3 linked regions of the Coturnix japonica genome follow. The protein of the gene in region 1 purifies or fractionates together with the protein of each later gene. This does not show direct contact. Links are inferred from orthologs where the notes say so. Each region holds a gene or a part of one and is shown on either strand. Other genes may lie near its edges. The genes, in order: STAT1, SRC and PIAS1.

Evidence for each region.
Region 2: the proteins of STAT1 (region 1) and SRC purify together in Homo sapiens (affinity purification with western blotting; 3 studies listed by BioGRID). This does not show direct contact. The link is inferred for Coturnix japonica from reciprocal best matches to the Homo sapiens genes STAT1 and SRC.
Region 3: the proteins of STAT1 (region 1) and PIAS1 purify together in Homo sapiens (affinity purification with western blotting; 5 studies listed by BioGRID). This does not show direct contact. The link is inferred for Coturnix japonica from reciprocal best matches to the Homo sapiens genes STAT1 and PIAS1.

The regions. Positions count from the first base shown.
Region 1 is NC_029522.1:2,023,983-2,029,598, forward strand, and holds the start of STAT1 (signal transducer and activator of transcription 1-alpha/beta), read left to right. Parts: upstream 1-2,307; 5' UTR 2,308-2,360; coding exon 2,361-2,434; intron 2,435-3,288; coding exon 3,289-3,417; intron 3,418-4,051; coding exon 4,052-4,196; intron 4,197-5,131; coding exon 5,132-5,230; intron 5,231-5,236; exon of another isoform or gene 5,237-5,616. UniProt on the Homo sapiens protein: Signal transducer and transcription activator that mediates cellular responses to interferons (IFNs), cytokine KITLG/SCF and other cytokines and other growth factors.
Region 2 is NC_029535.1:4,452,742-4,457,652, forward strand, and holds the end of SRC (proto-oncogene tyrosine-protein kinase Src), read left to right. Parts: intron 1-559; coding exon 560-709; intron 710-1,109; coding exon 1,110-1,265; intron 1,266-1,353; coding exon 1,354-1,533; intron 1,534-1,604; coding exon 1,605-1,681; intron 1,682-1,816; coding exon 1,817-1,970; intron 1,971-2,085; coding exon 2,086-2,217; intron 2,218-2,295; coding exon 2,296-2,504; 3' UTR 2,505-3,997; downstream 3,998-4,911. UniProt on the Homo sapiens protein: Non-receptor protein tyrosine kinase which is activated following engagement of many different classes of cellular receptors including immune response receptors, integrins and other adhesion receptors, receptor protein tyrosine kinases, G protein-coupled receptors as well as cytokine receptors.
Region 3 is NC_029525.1:17,355,399-17,360,894, reverse strand, and holds the end of PIAS1 (E3 SUMO-protein ligase PIAS1), read right to left. Parts: coding exon 5,490-5,496; intron 5,153-5,489; coding exon 5,115-5,152; intron 3,612-5,114; coding exon 3,315-3,611; 3' UTR 1,538-3,314; downstream 1-1,537. UniProt on the Homo sapiens protein: Functions as an E3-type small ubiquitin-like modifier (SUMO) ligase, stabilizing the interaction between UBE2I and the substrate, and as a SUMO-tethering factor. Catalyzes sumoylation of various proteins, such as CEBPB, MRE11, MTA1, PTK2 and PML.

The sequences.
Region 1 (5,616 bases):
GGTGGGATAACTAGTTTTATACCGTCTCTGAAACACATTTCATTTGGCTTATTTTAGCATGGACTTACATTGGCTCATTTGTTTGTTTTTCCCAGTACGATCCCCTCAACGTTCTTTTAATTGAATAATAAAATGGCAGTTCCAGGGCCATTGCCTTTTATGAGTGCAGCCTCGTGCAGATTTAACTTGTGTGCAAAATAAACAGCTGATACAAAGTCCTTAGAACACACAAACACTAAGGAAGAGCATGAGGTGCAGATGCTGAAGCACGAGTAACACAAGCGCTTGAAATCAAAACAACCCCTTCACATCAGAGTCAGAGTGAGATTTCAGTTTCATTTCTCTTTACTCCCCCCTTCACCCGTATCATTGATGTGAATGAGCAACATCTGTGTCAGAATGGAGAAACACTCTTTCTGGGCACTGCTGAAATATCAGAGTAGATATTAAATCACCAAACACGTCTCAGTAGTTGATCAGTCACAGTGATTCAAAGCTATGTAGATCCACATTTATACTTGCAAAGCATCACATAGAGAACCTAAACAACAATCATTGTGTATCTATGTCTGATAACAAACTGTAATTTATACCACAAGTATGGATAAAAACACACTTAGGCTTTAAGTTGGACACCTGAGCTTATGCGGATTTCTTCAATATAAAACAAAGACCTGTGGCATCTATCATCTAAGCATGAAAAGACCTTTGAGACCACTTCAGGCTGAGCACGCATCTAAACTACAGCTACACAGACTCCAACAGCAGCAAACAAAACTTGACCCCACACTGCATGCTTTCTTATCCTGACCTCTTTTCACTATCTTAATACTAACAAAATGGATACTGGCCATCTAAAGGTCATGAGAAATACAGTTTAAAAAGGGAGGGAGGGCAGACACAACATGCAAATCACTCTTGTTCTCTACCCTTTCTGCTCCCTGTACAACTCAATGATTTTTCTTGTATGGCTTAATAAGATTGCTGATAAGGTTTTGCTATTAGTTGTCTTTGTTGGTTTAATTGGAAGGCCTGCTACTGCAGCTCTGTTTGCTACTTCAAAGAGACAAACGTTATTGTCTTTATAATGAATTTATACTGGACAAATCTTGTTCCACAAAGAAAACACACCCCACTAATGAGAACGTGTCCCTGTATGAGATGAGGGTTCAAAGAAAGGAAGTAAATGGCAAAAAAAACAAGAAAAGCAAGTCAAAAGGGACACTCTCACATGCTGCTACAGCAGATGACATCTGCTCTCCAGCACTTTTACTAACAGTGCTTACGCTTTCACTGGGTTTCACAGCTGCAAAATCAGAAATAACAGGAAAAGAACCCAACAGCACTGTGCTGTGCTTTGTGCCCTGCCCTACTACCACACGGTTTCAAATTCAATGTAAAAACCTATTAGCTACCATTTTCCTACTGGTTTGATATATAAAGAACTCAGATTCATACCAGTAATCAGGGCTACCAGACAAAAACTTACCAGCACATCTTCTATTTACCCATCTCTTCTACCAGCTAAGAAGGTTTCCCTGTTTGAGGGGAGCGGGAGATACAAACTACAACCAAAAAAGACCCAAGCACTCCCCATTAGGTTTATACACTTTACTGACCATTCACAAACACTTTGGAACACTCTGGTAAATAACTCAGCCTACCCAAAGAAATTGAGTGTATTTTCTCTATGCATCAAGGAAGAATGTTCATTTGGCAAACTCCTGCCTTTCCAGAGCCTCAGGATTTATCTTCTAAATAATCTTCATAGGGGAAAAAAAGAAGCAACAGAAAAGAACCCAGGTTTTAACATAAGCCAAGATTGTCTAGAGTTACTTATACCAACACAGCCCTACATGTCCTAACAAGGCAACGAGCTGCAATAAGGATGAAATGTGAGATAATGAAGCCTCCATATCAGTTATTTACTAGGATGAAAGCTCTCAGCCGGCCAAACACCGGGCACAATTAAAACCCTCAGCTGTTATTAAGCAGACCTCCATCCAAGTCTCTGTCTGTTGGACGGAAATCTGGGTTAATTTATTAACAGCCCGAGATACGATTGTACAGTCTATCAATGCAAACAAAGGCCAAGATGGCGGCGCTGTGCCTGTGGTGTCGCTTTCGGTTTCGCCTTCCCGCCAAGCGGCCCGTTCCGGTCGCAGGGAGCCTTTCCCAGAAGTCACGTGGTGCAGCGCCGCCTCACAGCGCCGTCACTACGCATGCGCAAAGCACCACAGCGAGTCCCAGAAGAAACGCGGAAGAAAAAGTGAAGGGGGCGGGGCTTAGGGCGGCACCGCGCGTGCTCATTGGCCCGGGCGGTGTGGGCCGGGCTCCTATTGGCCCTGCGGTGTATCCCCATGGCCGCGGCCGGGAGGGTATTTGTGGGAGCGGGGAAGGGGAGAGAGCGGAGCGGGACGGGTAGTGCCAGCGGGTGAGTACGGGATGGGGTGGGGGTAAATTAGCATCTGATCGCCGTTATAGCCAGCTGTGAGCCTTGGAACCATAACCTGGGGGGTAGGAGAAGGCTGGGGGGGACCTGAGAGCGACCCGCTCTGCGAAGGAAGGGGATATGCTCTTCAATAGGGTCTGTTGTGATGGGATGAGGGGAGAGATTGGAGCTGAATACAGAGAGACAAAACTGCTTCTAAAGAATCTCAGCAATATCAACCCTAATATTCAAGCCAAAAATCATATACAAAAAGAGAAAAGAATCAGACTCACCCAGCTGATGAAGGGGCTCCCTGGCAATGCAGCACTCCTATACGAAGCAGCCCAGATCCAAACGATGCTCTCTCTTCAGTGGCTGGTATTTATATGAGCCATAGGGCTCCACTCTCAGCCCACCCTCCTGCTCAGCTGGGAGCACAGGTGAACACTGTCTGTACTCCCTTAGGCAGACACAGCCCTGACCTATCAGCTCCCCTGTAAGCAACTACAGTACAGTCACAGTGCTGATACTGATTGAGAAAGGAGCGTGTATGGAGGGTAAAAAACGCAGCTTTTCATAGGGAAGAGTGTTTGAAGTGTTGACTGACTTCTGTTGATGCAATTAACAGTCTTAATTGGCAGCTTTTGGAATTCAAAGCAGCGCAGAAGATGTTAAGTGATGTTTTGATCGTTCAGTGATTCCATTTCACCTCAAAACAGAACGTGCTTCTGTTCCAATTTCCTTCCGTTTTACCGTGACCTCCAGATTTATGGGTTTAATGAAAGCCTGGAATGAGTCATTTTGCACCACTTCAGCTCTAACGGTACCTTAAGCTGCTTTTATTCCCCGCTTCCCAGGATGACTCAGTGGTATCAGCTACAACAACTGGACTCCAAGTTTTTGGAGCAAGTTCACCAGCTGTACGATGACAGCTTCCCTATGGAGATCAGGCAGTACCTGGCACAGTGGCTGGAAAACCAGGATTGGTAAGCATAGAAATTGACCTTTGGGTTATAGGATAATAAACGTTACACAGAGAGGGACAGGTGGCAGCAGAGTACTGGGGAAGAAAGCTGCTAGGGACGTGGGGACACCTATGCTGGTAGGATGCTTTGAGAGCTGTGCAGCTCATAGACTTGAGGAGGGGTGGGAATCTAGTCTGTGTAGGGGAGGCCTGATGTCTAGAGTAACAATTGCCCCACTTAATGTTTTCTTTAGTTAATCTCAACCAAAAGCAGGTGTTTTAAGGCAGTCAGTTTGCCTGGCACCTCAGGCTCTCACCATTCACAGACTCAGAACTGTTTTCCAACGTTCCTATGGAGTGTTGTTTAGCACTGCATGGTGTGTGTATGCATCAGGGTCACTTCTAGCTTCCTGATGCACATGGAAAGGGTCAGTGATGTCACACAAAACGTGGCAAAGGCAGCACAGAAGAACAGCAGTTCTCTATTGAGGAAAGTGAAGCAGAAGGTGAGAGGATGAGGCTGACGTGTTTGAAAGCAGTTCTTCCTGCTCACGTATATTACAACTGGAGCTGGGGATCAATACAACGTTCTCTGTAGTGCATTTTGAGTGCTGGTTGAAAGCATTTAACACAAGCATGCTTGCAATTTATTCTAGGGAACACGCGGCCAACAATGTGTCATTTGCTACGGTGCTATTCCATGACCTGCTGTCACAGCTCGATGATCAATTTAGCCGATTTTTGATAGAAAACAACTTCTTGCTGCAACACAACATAAGGAAAAGCAAACGTAATCTTCAGGTATGCCCAGGCACGTGTTTAAATACCTTTGGTGCTGGAGTTGGATGTCCCCAAGCAGAATATTCTGCCCTGAGGGATTTTCCAGAGAGTATTCGAGAGCCTTAATTTAACAAGTCAGATTCCAAACGTGACTCCATTTTTATTTTAACTTGGCTATGGTTACAAAGTTACTTTCATTAACAGTACAAGTTATGGTTTCTGAGAACTCAAAACCAGAAGTTGCTGTATGCAAGGGTCTGTAATAGGAGCATGCAAGGAGCATGTAATTGGAGTACCTTAGGGAATGCAGCTTTGCTTACCCCAACCCTTCCCAGAGCAGTTTCTTGTCTCAATAAATCACTGATGCAGAAGAAACACAGGAGAATAAATCCTTAAACATAGCTACAGAACCACAATAAAAAACAGGGAATCTGTCACTTGTGTACATCACATTATTCTGACAAAGAAAAGGATGAAGCAGTGGGTAGTGGATAGCACTGCAGAATCTATTTGTGGTCTCCATTACTTCCCTTGTCTCTGTGTTCCCAAGTGGCAGCAAATGTCCCTTCTTTATCTTCCCAAGTGAAAGCAGCACCTGTCAAGCTATAACTCCTCTTTAAAAACTGCAGCTATGCCTCCAAGGTGTGGAGGTGTGGCTCTCAAAGCTGTCTCCAGCACTACAGTGTAAAACAGCTTACTCTGTGCCTTCTTACAGTAACATCTCCAGCCCTATGTCATTGTTACATGACAAGTCCCATCAACTCTTTGTACCCTAACAAAACAAAGTAATACACCAAGCAGAGAAACTGCTTCCTAGAGCTGGCTACAGTCCATGTAGTCTCAAAGCAAGATACAACTCGGGCTTAACCCGACACATGTTATTCTTGTCAGTTGATTTAATGAAATACAAGAGATTACACGTATTAAGTTTAACAATAGCCCATGTCTAACACCAGGATAACTTCCAAGAAGACCCAATACACATGGCAATGATCATCCACAACTGCCTGAAAGAGGAGAGGAAAATACTGAACAGTGCACAGTTGTCTAATCAGGTAAGTTAGTTTTGAAATGTCCACTGCAGTCGTGTCTGCCCTTTCCTATTACTTGGGATACCAGCGGGTTTGAGTAGCGTGAGCTATTCAGATGGGAAAGGGCCAGAAAGTGATCTTGATTCTTCCTTCCTTTTCCATTTTACTCTTGATTTACTGTTTATTGAGCAGCTGAGCACTAGTGGGTCTCTGGACTGCCTTGGAAAGTGATACTACTCTTCCTTCCCAGCTACACTCAATTTTACGTTTATGTTTTAAACTGAACTGCTGAGCCATAGGCAGAGCGTATTCTTCTCCTCATCATTATTTTGGCAGTGCATCTGTTTGGATTTTCCCTTCCAAGAACTGTGTTGCAATAAAAAATTCCACAGTTAGAAAAGCCATGTAAA
Region 2 (4,911 bases), on another chromosome or scaffold:
ATGACATCCTGGTTTACCCACTAATGGTTTCCCCACTGATGTGCCCATGTAACTCTGAAGTGTTGGGAACAACACCATGTCCTCTCCTGGGCTTTTTTGTGCATTCTTTTTGTCCCTAGGCAAATGAGTTCTGTTCTTTCCTAACCTCTGTCTAATGGCAAAATCTCACTTGTGAGGAACTAAGTGGAGGCAATGATGGATTTTTAGGCTCCTCTTTCAAGGCTATAGACTCTTTATCCTTGTTTTGTTCCTCCCAAATGTGTAAGTTTGATCCCAAGAGCTTGGCTTTCTGAGGATGCTGAGGAGGTTTAGATTACACATAAGGAAAAACTTTTTCTCTCAGAGAGTGGTCAGGCACTGGAATGGCTGCACAGGGAGGTGGTGGAGCTGCCATCCCTGGCACTGTTCAAGAGGCATCTGGATGAGGAGCTACGAGATCTGGTTTAGTGGCTTGTGGTATCAGTGATGATGGGAGGATGGTTGGACTGGATGATCTTGTAGGTCCTTTCCAACCTTGTGATTCTATGATTCTGTGATTCTTACTCTGTTGTGCCCTCAGGTGCCTATTGCCTCTCCGTTTCCGACTTCGACAACGCCAAGGGGCTCAATGTGAAGCACTACAAGATCCGCAAGCTGGACAGCGGCGGCTTCTACATCACCTCGCGCACACAGTTCGGCAGCCTGCAGCAGCTGGTGGCCTACTACTCCAGTGCGTATGGCCAGAGCCCCTGCCCACATCCCTTGGGGTCTGGGTGATGCCAGGGGGGGTTTGGGTTGGGTATTGGGAAGAGTTTGTTTATGGATGGGTGGTAGTGGTGGAGACCTCATCCATGGAGGTGTTTGAGGTATGTGGATGTGGAGCTAAGGGACGTGTCTTAGCGATGGGGTGCTTGGACTTGGGGATATTGATCCTCTTTTCCAACCTTGATGGTTTTATGAAGGGAATGCCAGTGCAGGAGCTGAAGCAGGTGGGCAGACCCTGGTGAAACACCACTTGGGTTTGAGAAAGAGGGGAAGGTGTCTGAGTTTGGGTGCCCAAGGTGTTGTGCAGGGAAGACGTCGTGCACCCAAATACCAAAGCATCACTTGTGTTGTCCCTGCTGCACTAGAACATGCTGATGGCTTGTGCCACCGCCTGACCAATGTCTGCCCCACGTCCAAGCCCCAGACCCAAGGACTCGCCAAGGATGCGTGGGAAATTCCCCGGGAGTCGCTGCGGCTGGAGGTGAAGCTGGGGCAGGGCTGCTTTGGAGAGGTCTGGATGGGTAAGGACAGCCACATGCAGCGTCATCATCCGCATCAGTAGGGAAGCAGGTGTGGAACGCAGCCTTGTAAACATGTCTTGTGCTGCAGGGACCTGGAACGGCACCACCAGAGTGGCCATAAAGACTCTGAAGCCCGGCACGATGTCCCCAGAAGCCTTCCTGCAGGAAGCACAAGTGATGAAGAAGCTCCGGCATGAGAAGCTGGTTCAGCTGTACGCTGTGGTGTCAGAGGAGCCCATCTACATCGTCACTGAGTACATGAGCAAGGGTGAGCACAGCAGGGCTGCTGGGTGGCCAGGGGATGGTACTGCCCATTGGTGACCGCTGTCTTCCTCGCAGGGAGCCTCCTAGACTTCCTGAAGGGAGAGATGGGCAAGTACCTGCGGCTGCCACAGCTCGTCGATATGGCTGCTCAGGTGGGTTCCTGCTTCCTATTCCTCTTGCACCCTGGCTCCCATCAGCTGGATCGGTTCTGGCTGTGGAGCCATTCCCACTGTGGTTGGGGTCCTCTTGTCCCCTGCAAAGCCCAGTCCCCACACTCTGCCCTATAGATTGCGTCTGGCATGGCCTATGTGGAGAGGATGAACTATGTGCACCGAGACCTGCGGGCAGCCAACATCCTGGTGGGGGAGAACCTGGTGTGCAAGGTGGCTGACTTTGGGCTGGCACGTCTCATCGAGGACAACGAGTACACAGCACGGCAAGGTGTGAGCGGGGCACGGGTAGTGGGACTAGAGGTTGGTTTGATGCCCCAGGCCATGAGGTTGGGGGTCTGCGGGCTGTGGATGGGAGCAGCCCCTCACTCTGCCTCCCTGCCCAGGTGCCAAGTTCCCCATCAAGTGGACAGCCCCCGAGGCAGCCCTGTATGGCCGATTCACCATCAAGTCAGATGTTTGGTCCTTCGGCATCCTGCTGACTGAGCTGACCACCAAGGGCCGGGTGCCATACCCAGGTGAGAGCTGGCACCAACCCCACACCCCATGGGCTGGGCACAGTGCGTGACCCGGCCCCACTGCCCTTCTTTCCACAGGGATGGTCAATAGGGAGGTGCTGGACCAGGTGGAGCGGGGCTACCGCATGCCTTGCCCACCCGAGTGCCCTGAATCACTGCATGACCTCATGTGCCAGTGCTGGCGGAAGGACCCTGAGGAGCGGCCCACCTTTGAGTACCTGCAGGCCTTCCTGGAGGACTACTTCACCTCGACAGAGCCCCAGTACCAGCCTGGAGAGAACCTATAGGCCTGGAGCTCCTCTTGGTGCCAGAGGCTTCGCTGTGGGGCGCAGAGGGCTGGCTCTGTGCAGAGGGGCCACGTTTTGAGGAGCAGCCCCAGAGCAAGATGCGGCATGGTGAGGTGTCGGGTGCCCCATTGCTCATTAAAACTGCTGGGCCACCCTTAACGAGGTGGCGAGAGGAGCCCCGGGCACTGCCACCAGCGGAACTGAGGCTCAGGATGGCGAATGGAGCAGCAGGATGGCTGCTGGCACAGCTGTGGCTTACAGGACCCTGTTCTCACAGCAGCCAGAGAAATGGGGGGATAGCCCCTCCCTCCTCAGACACACTGCCCCACACCTCCCGCACCCCCTTTTTTAAATCAGCACAAATTTCTTCACCCATTCACCCACCCACTTCACTCTGGTCTGCACGAGGCTGTTTGCAGAGACATTTGGTGCTGGGGAAGGCACTGCTTTGGGTCGGATGCAGCTGGAGAGCAGACCTTGGGATGCCCCGTGGAGCCTGGTGGTCTCCCTCCAGCAACCACCCATCCTCGGGCACAGGGTTCAGTGTCTGGGGGAACTACTTGTCTTTCAGCACTGCTTTTGTCCACCGATGTGTTTCTAGCCACCATCCCCCCTGCTTCTGCCATCCGCTTATCAGGGAGCATGGAGCGTCTGGGAGCCATTTACAGACCCAGCTGCTCCCTGCTCGCTCCCAGTACCATGTGTTGGAGGTCAGAGCAATCCATGCTCAGCCTGGTACCCACAGCAGCTCCCACTGAGCACCCCTGTACATAGCCCTCCAGCACCTCCCATTACCTGACCAAGCTATGTGTGCTGTCACTGTGGTACCAACATCTGTCCTTGTCTGTGCCCAGCTGGAGCCCCTCATCACACCATCACCACCTGTGTCCTGAACCTCCTATCCATTGCTCACACCCAGTGCCAAAAACACCTCCAGAGAACCAAGCTGAGCCGCTGCTGCCTCCCACTTGTTCCCAGGCGTCTTATTTATTACCTGAGTTCTCAGTCGGTGGCTCTGTTTTAATAGTGAACTCAGTGCAAAGGGGCTCGTAGCAGTATGGAGGGATCCCACTTTTGGCTTGGAGGGCTGTTCCCATGGATTTCTGTACTCACAATGGGAATTGGAGCCCTTCATCCCTTGTCACGTTTCCCTTGGTGCAGGTCCTGCTGCACCCCAGCGCTCACAGCCTTTAAACCTCCACACCCCACGATGTTTGTGTGCCATCACCACACAGTGTGCACAGTGCCTGCATCCCCAGGGGAAAGCTCTGAGAGCAGCACGTGGGGACGGGCAGTAGCCAGATGTGAGCCAAGAGCTGAGCAGAGGGAACAAAGGCAAACACACACATGGACACACAGCCTTTGGGCTCCCATAGCATGGAGCAGGGCTGGGGGCTGCTGGCCCACCTGTGCTCCACAGAGCCCCCGTGCCATCCCCTCCATTGCTGGTCTGTTGCTGAAGCCAGTAGAGGGTTACCCACCCCCCACCCCCAGTGATGCTCTTTGGTACAAAGCAGCCCCGTGTGAGATGTTCTGCTGGTACCATTTTATAAAGTGTTTTGTAACATCTCCCACTGACTATGCACAGGGTGCGTGGATCTGTTTCTCTCCCCCCAGCCCAACACCTCCACCCCCCCAACCTGTTTCAGTGTCAAAGTAAGAAATATTTAGCTTTTTTTTTTTTTTTTTAAATCTTTGGAAAATCCTGACCATGTCCGGCGTGGGGGGTGGTGGGGGATGGAGATGCTTTGAATCTCTCATGATGTTGTTGTAAATACTTTGCAATTTGATAATTAAAGACAAACAGACCTCACCAAACAGATCGCTGTGGGTTGTGTGTGGTGAAGGAGGACCCCTTGGCATCCCCAAAGGGCATCCAGCCCTGCATGTGGCTCTCAGGATTGTCTTGGGGGGGGGTGATATCTGCCAGGGGTAGGAGGAAAACTATGGGGCATGCAGAGCTTTTGTCCCTTATCCATCTGCCCTGGGACACCCCTGTCTGTGCTGATTGCAGCCTCCTTCAGCTGTTGCTCAGTGAGCTGGCTGGGAGCAGGCTTGCTTCATTAGGGTAATTAGTGGATGCTGATTGGAATCCCTCAGTTGGTGATGAAGTAATTGATTTGTGGGAATAGGCCTTCAGAGAGTGGGGCTGTGGCTGAGCTTCAGTGACCCGTGGTGGTTCTGGTGCCCTGAGTGCTGCTTTGTCTCTGAGGGCTGGTGAGTCAATTTTTATCATCTTAAGTGTTTAATGTTTCATGATTTACTTCTTGCTAAAGTAATTAAGCGATGGGGAGGGTATCTCTTGTTGGTGAGTGCCTCAGTCTGTGTGTGATGGGTGGGATGTGGTGCTGCCCTGTGGTCTGTCACTGCAGCAGGGCAGGGGTTCTGTACAGCTGGGGTTGGGATG
Region 3 (5,496 bases), on another chromosome or scaffold:
TTAGAAATCTAAGCTCTGTTAAAAAATAAAAAATAAAATAGAATAAAATAAAATGGAGAAAACCCCCCCAAACAGTTACACTGACAGAACAAAACCCTTCCGGAATATATTTAAAATGTGCTTAAAACCCTGAAATGTGAACCTGCAGTGAGGAATCCCCATCCCACTGCTCTCCCCACACTATGTATGGGGATGCTCCATCAGCCCTGCATCCATTCAGGCACCCTGCATGGGGGGCAATGGGACTGGAGCTGCTCCCACCCCTGTGCTGGAGTTCAATGTGGTGGTGGTTTATTCCCTTACAACGCAGCAGTAATGCCCCACGAGGCCCCAAAGCCACGTCCAGCCCACGCTGTGTGCACACCCTGACCCCATACAGAGCACCCACCCCCCATCCCTGCAGGAACTCAGGGACACAAACCACCACCAAAGGCCCACGGCTGCCCCCAGCAGCAGGCACACACTGCACTTATCAGCAACACGATGGGGGAGACCATAGTTCCATTTGTAGGGAACTTTGAGAACTCAGACTGAGACTTCTACCAAGTCACGTTAACTGTGGTCAGAGGCACAGAGATTATGGACCATACAGCACAGCCCGGCGTGAAACATGAATATTCCAACACACGGGATTCACACCGCAAAGAGTTTCGGGAACGTTTCTCTCCCTTCTTTGCAGAGCAACGAGGTTGGAGACAGCAGCAGCAAACTGAGCAGCCTTCCTTCCCTTGGGGCAAGGCGGGAGGAGTGGAAGACATCACCGTGCAGCCTCACTCTCCATGCGCGGGCAGCAAGATGCCAGATCCCGTCTTACCACACTCTTGCCGCGACTGGTTTTATATGTGAATTAAAAAGACTGGAATACCGTGGTGGGAACGGGCGCGGGCTGCTCCTCAGCTCCTCTTCTGTACAGTCAGTGGGAACACACTGCACGCCTCGCTCAGCTCTGCAAACGTCCCTGGCTGCTCCGCTTTACAAAAGGAACAGACACGGCGCGGCTGCTCTGCGGGTACCGGGTCAGTACTCACAACTAAAATGTATGAGACATATTCCTCATGTAGGTTTAATCACTTTGAAATCAGACTGAGTTTAAAAAATAAGTATTTCCCATTTTCTATCCTTTTATTTTATTTTTTTTTAACTGACATTTAATAAATTATAAAATTGGTGTATGGTGAAATATATATATATATATATATATCAGCCAGATATGTATGAAATACACATGCATGGGAAAAACTATTTAACTCACTTTTAACTCACACACACAGATCTATAAATACATATATACACACACATATACATATAAACACAAACATTTGTTTCCAAAATTCAAGTCAACTATTTAGTGGCAGAGGGATGCTGTAAAAACACTAGAAACAATTTTGATGCCACGTAATCGTGTGAACCTTTCAAAGAACCATACAACTGATCATACAGCAATACCTAATGCTACTTGGATTAACGTGTTTTTGCTTTTTTTTGTCTTTTTTTTTTTTTTTTTTTTTTCCTTTTTTTTTTCTTATTTTCTTTTTTTTTTTTTTTTCCTTTTTGTAATTAATGCAATATTTTGAGACAACTTCATAGGCAAAAGGTGGCCCTCGTCAATGCTCAAAGCAACTATAGCTGCAATCAGCAGCTTGGGACATTAAAAACTCAGACAAGCATCTGCTAACCTCTGTATTCCTCACTCTCTTTCCTGATAAACCTGTTACCTGCACTTCCAACCAGTTACAAAAATAGCTTTCACACCAGAGGAAATCACTTCTCTCTGATGGGACTTTGGGACACAACAGAATCACCTCCTCCCCTCCCCCTGCTCTCACTTTAAAGAATCTCCTGAAAAACTGCATTCCAGCTATTTACACGTTTCTCTGTAACAAGAACGGATCAGCCCAAATGATCCACCAGCTCTTAAAAAAAGGTTTTCCTATGTCACACACAGCTGAAAAAGTGAAGAAAGAAACGAAACCAGGAAGCAAACGTGGCTCCAAGTGTGATGGAAGGGAACTGAAAGGAACGGGGAATCAAAATAACCACCAAGCCATAAAGAGAAAACTGAATGGGAACCCCACAACCCTAAGAGAGACTTCAATAGGCAGAGATTCATTTAAGTGCAGGGAAGGGCACTGGGCTTCTTTTTTGGCTTAACAGACTCACATTAAACATTTAATACCAACTTGGGTGAAGGAGAACTCAGAAGACAGCAAACCAAGACCATTATCGGCTGCACCAACCATGCAATAGAGCGTCGGCATTTGTATTTTCTTCCTTTTGCTGACAAGTTCACTTTTAAGCAGAAATTTGATCTACTGCAGCTAAAAGGAGGTTTTCCAAGCCAGGAGACAGGCCCAACCCAGTGGGCCAGTCCTACACGCGTGGCTGATCTTAAAGCACAAGCAGCTCCACACATTTCAAACTGACACATGCTGAATATTGTGAGTAGGATCTTAAGTTATCTTAAAAGGATTTCATAGTAAGTTGTTAGAAACAAAAACCTACAGTCAGATGTGTCGATGCTTTTCTCTGGGGCTGGATTCTATATGAATTTGGTCTTGTCCCACATAACACAGCCAAACAACTTCTCAGCCTGACATTTTATTGAGTCTGGCCCTCCAGAATAATTGGTGCACTAACAAGCTCACAACATGCTTGATTAAAGCACGGAATTAAAAAGAAAGTCAGCCAAACAGAGGGTCACATAGAACAAGAAATGACAAATAAACACTCCTGAAAGGCTACGTACTGCAAACAGAGGGAACGGTGCGGAACAGGCTGGGTAGGGTTTATTCCACATCGAGCACAACAAAATCTGCACTAAAATGGGATGGGGGAATTCCATTCCACCACCAAATACAGGTGTCTCCAAGAGGCAAAAAAAAAAAGAAAAAGAAAAAAAACAACCCAGAAGTTTGAACTTCAGAAGTTCAGTTCCTTTTCCCATTTCTGTTACTGTGAAGAAAATAATGCCATTTGTGTCCAAACTAAGGGCAAAAGAAATAAGTAACTCACATGACAAATGCACAGGTGTTGAATCTTCAGCATCCATTAAATCCAAGTTCCTTGTTTTTGTGGGTTTTTGTGTGTGTGTTCTGCTTTGTGTTGTGGCATTTATTTATTTATTTATTTTGTTATTTTTTTTATCAGTGAGGCCATCTTAGGTTTATATACAAAAGTAAAACTGAAAATATAGTTTTGTTCTCTGTACATGTAAATTTTTTTCCCTAAAAAAGGAAAAAAACCTGTCTATGTTTCTAACATAAAGTAAAACCAAGCACAAAGACTTCCTCTGACAAGTTCGTTTTCTCCAAAAATCAGTCCAACGAAATAATGTCTGATATGATACCAAAGATAGACGCCGTGTCCGCGCCGCTCCTACTTGCAACTGGATGACCATGATTCTCTCGCAGGCTGTTGGAGGAAACAAGACTGCTGTTACTGCCACTATTGCTACCGTTTGTGGCTGGCAGAGAACTGCTTCCTCCTGCATTTAGCTGATCGAGAAACATCTGAGATGAAGTGTATGGGAAAAAACGAGAGTGTAAGAGTTCTTGATCATCTGATGCGGAAACTGCCGCAGCTGCAGCAGCAAGAAGGGATGTGTTGTAATGCTGGGGGGGGAAAAACAACATTTGCAAGTTACATTTCAGACACCATTGTTTTGATTCAGACCAGCAAAAAAAAAAAGAATATATTTGTAAGCTACAGCTCTGACAGCTTCTGGGTTTCACACCAGCTCGCCCACTCAACCTTTCTGTAAGGTAAACGGATCGATGCAGTGATCTTTTACTTCTGCAGCCTCTGAATTTCAGAGCCAAAAGGAATGGGAAATACTGGCAATTAGTAAGAAAAAACACTAGAAAGGTAGTGGCATTGCAAGACAGCCGAACAGTGAGAAATGTCAAGCAGAAGCACTTGTACCTCTCCATACAACTCCTTGGTGGAAAAATTCCCCAAAATTCAAAGAATCATTTTGCCATCCCTCTGCTCATTAGTCATCAACTACAGCTGGTAAAACTATGGGCTAATCACTGCTGGTGGAGAGAGAAACAGTTCTTCCCTGTGAAAAATACATTTAGAAATATGGGAAATATGTTTAGGCCCATCAGGAGGCAGCAAAGGCCGTCTGAAGTGACACTCTTTGACAGGCAGCACCCAAAAGGCAAGAACTTCAATTATCAAGGTCGGATTTTAAATGTTATTTATCTGTATGGTGCTTCTGCTCTTTATATTTGTTTTAACTACAAGGAAACATCCACACACGTCATTTAGCCTTGTTTCCTGGCACTCGAGCACTGGTACAACTATGCCTTGCCAGTGCAACACCAGACTTTGGCAATACTCATTTCAGAATTATTCTCATGTCTGTCTTTTTACTGAATATGAAGAAAGCTTCTCTGAATCCAAGTTCTGTTAAACAGGCTCTGGACTTTGCAATGACATGGAAGTCCCCTTGTTTTTAGTCCCATTCTCCTACCTGAGAGTGCTGAACAGGAATGGAGGGAAGAAAGGTGGTGAACCACCCCAACCCTCTTCTTTGCTGGGAAGCACTGAAGGGGTAGTGACCAAGTGGGAGAATTCACCAAACCTTTTGAGAACCATCTTTTTAGTTCCCCGAACTGCAGAAGCCAGCACCAAATCTAGTTCATTTCAGTAAGTGCTTACAGGAAAGCAGCAAGCAGTGTGAGCAGGCACACAGCCTCAGGGGAAGAGGAAAATAAAAGGAGCTGCCCTGACTCTCAAAATTGCATAGAGCACTGTCAAGAGACCCAGTGATGGGGCCTAACATGGTCAGATGGAGAAAGATCACACTAACTTAAAGTATGTAAAAGTGTGCATTTTCAGCCACAGCCAAGGGTCATCCTGCAATATACCTGCAGCTAACTAGCTTGAAGCCCTTGAAGAAAAGTCTTTGTCTGCTGTTATGCCTTATCATGCATCTGTATTTAGGATAATGCTTATGTCTGGTTACATCCTATGTGCACAAAAGAGGTACAGTCTGCCTGCACTCACACCTGTGTTACAGATCTGCTCTTTCCTCGCCTATACATCCAAGTCAGCAAGTCCTTATCAGAAAAGCAATCTGCCAGATGGTTTGATTTTCCTTAACTTACCTGATTGTCTCCTGACAGGAAAGGGAAGAAATCTAAACCTGAAAAGAGCCAAAGAAAAAGAGTCAGGCTTCTCAAAACAAAAAAAGTACCTCCCAATTTCTCCCACCAAATTTTGAAATGAAATAAATTGAACCAGCATAAAACTAATGACACTTCAGACTCTCTTTACCACCAGACCTTGGGAGAAATCAGACTTTTAACACCTTAAGATACTAACCTAAACCTTCTTTCTCTTACAATACCACTTTGTTTTCCGTGGTTGTAAAAATATTATTTTGCATAACTGGACTGTGAAACAGTCTGTTTGAATCCTTCTGTAACAGTCACAATAGCTCAGAGAGTTGTACCTATAGTTACAAACAGCCAGCAGCTTACCTTGCAA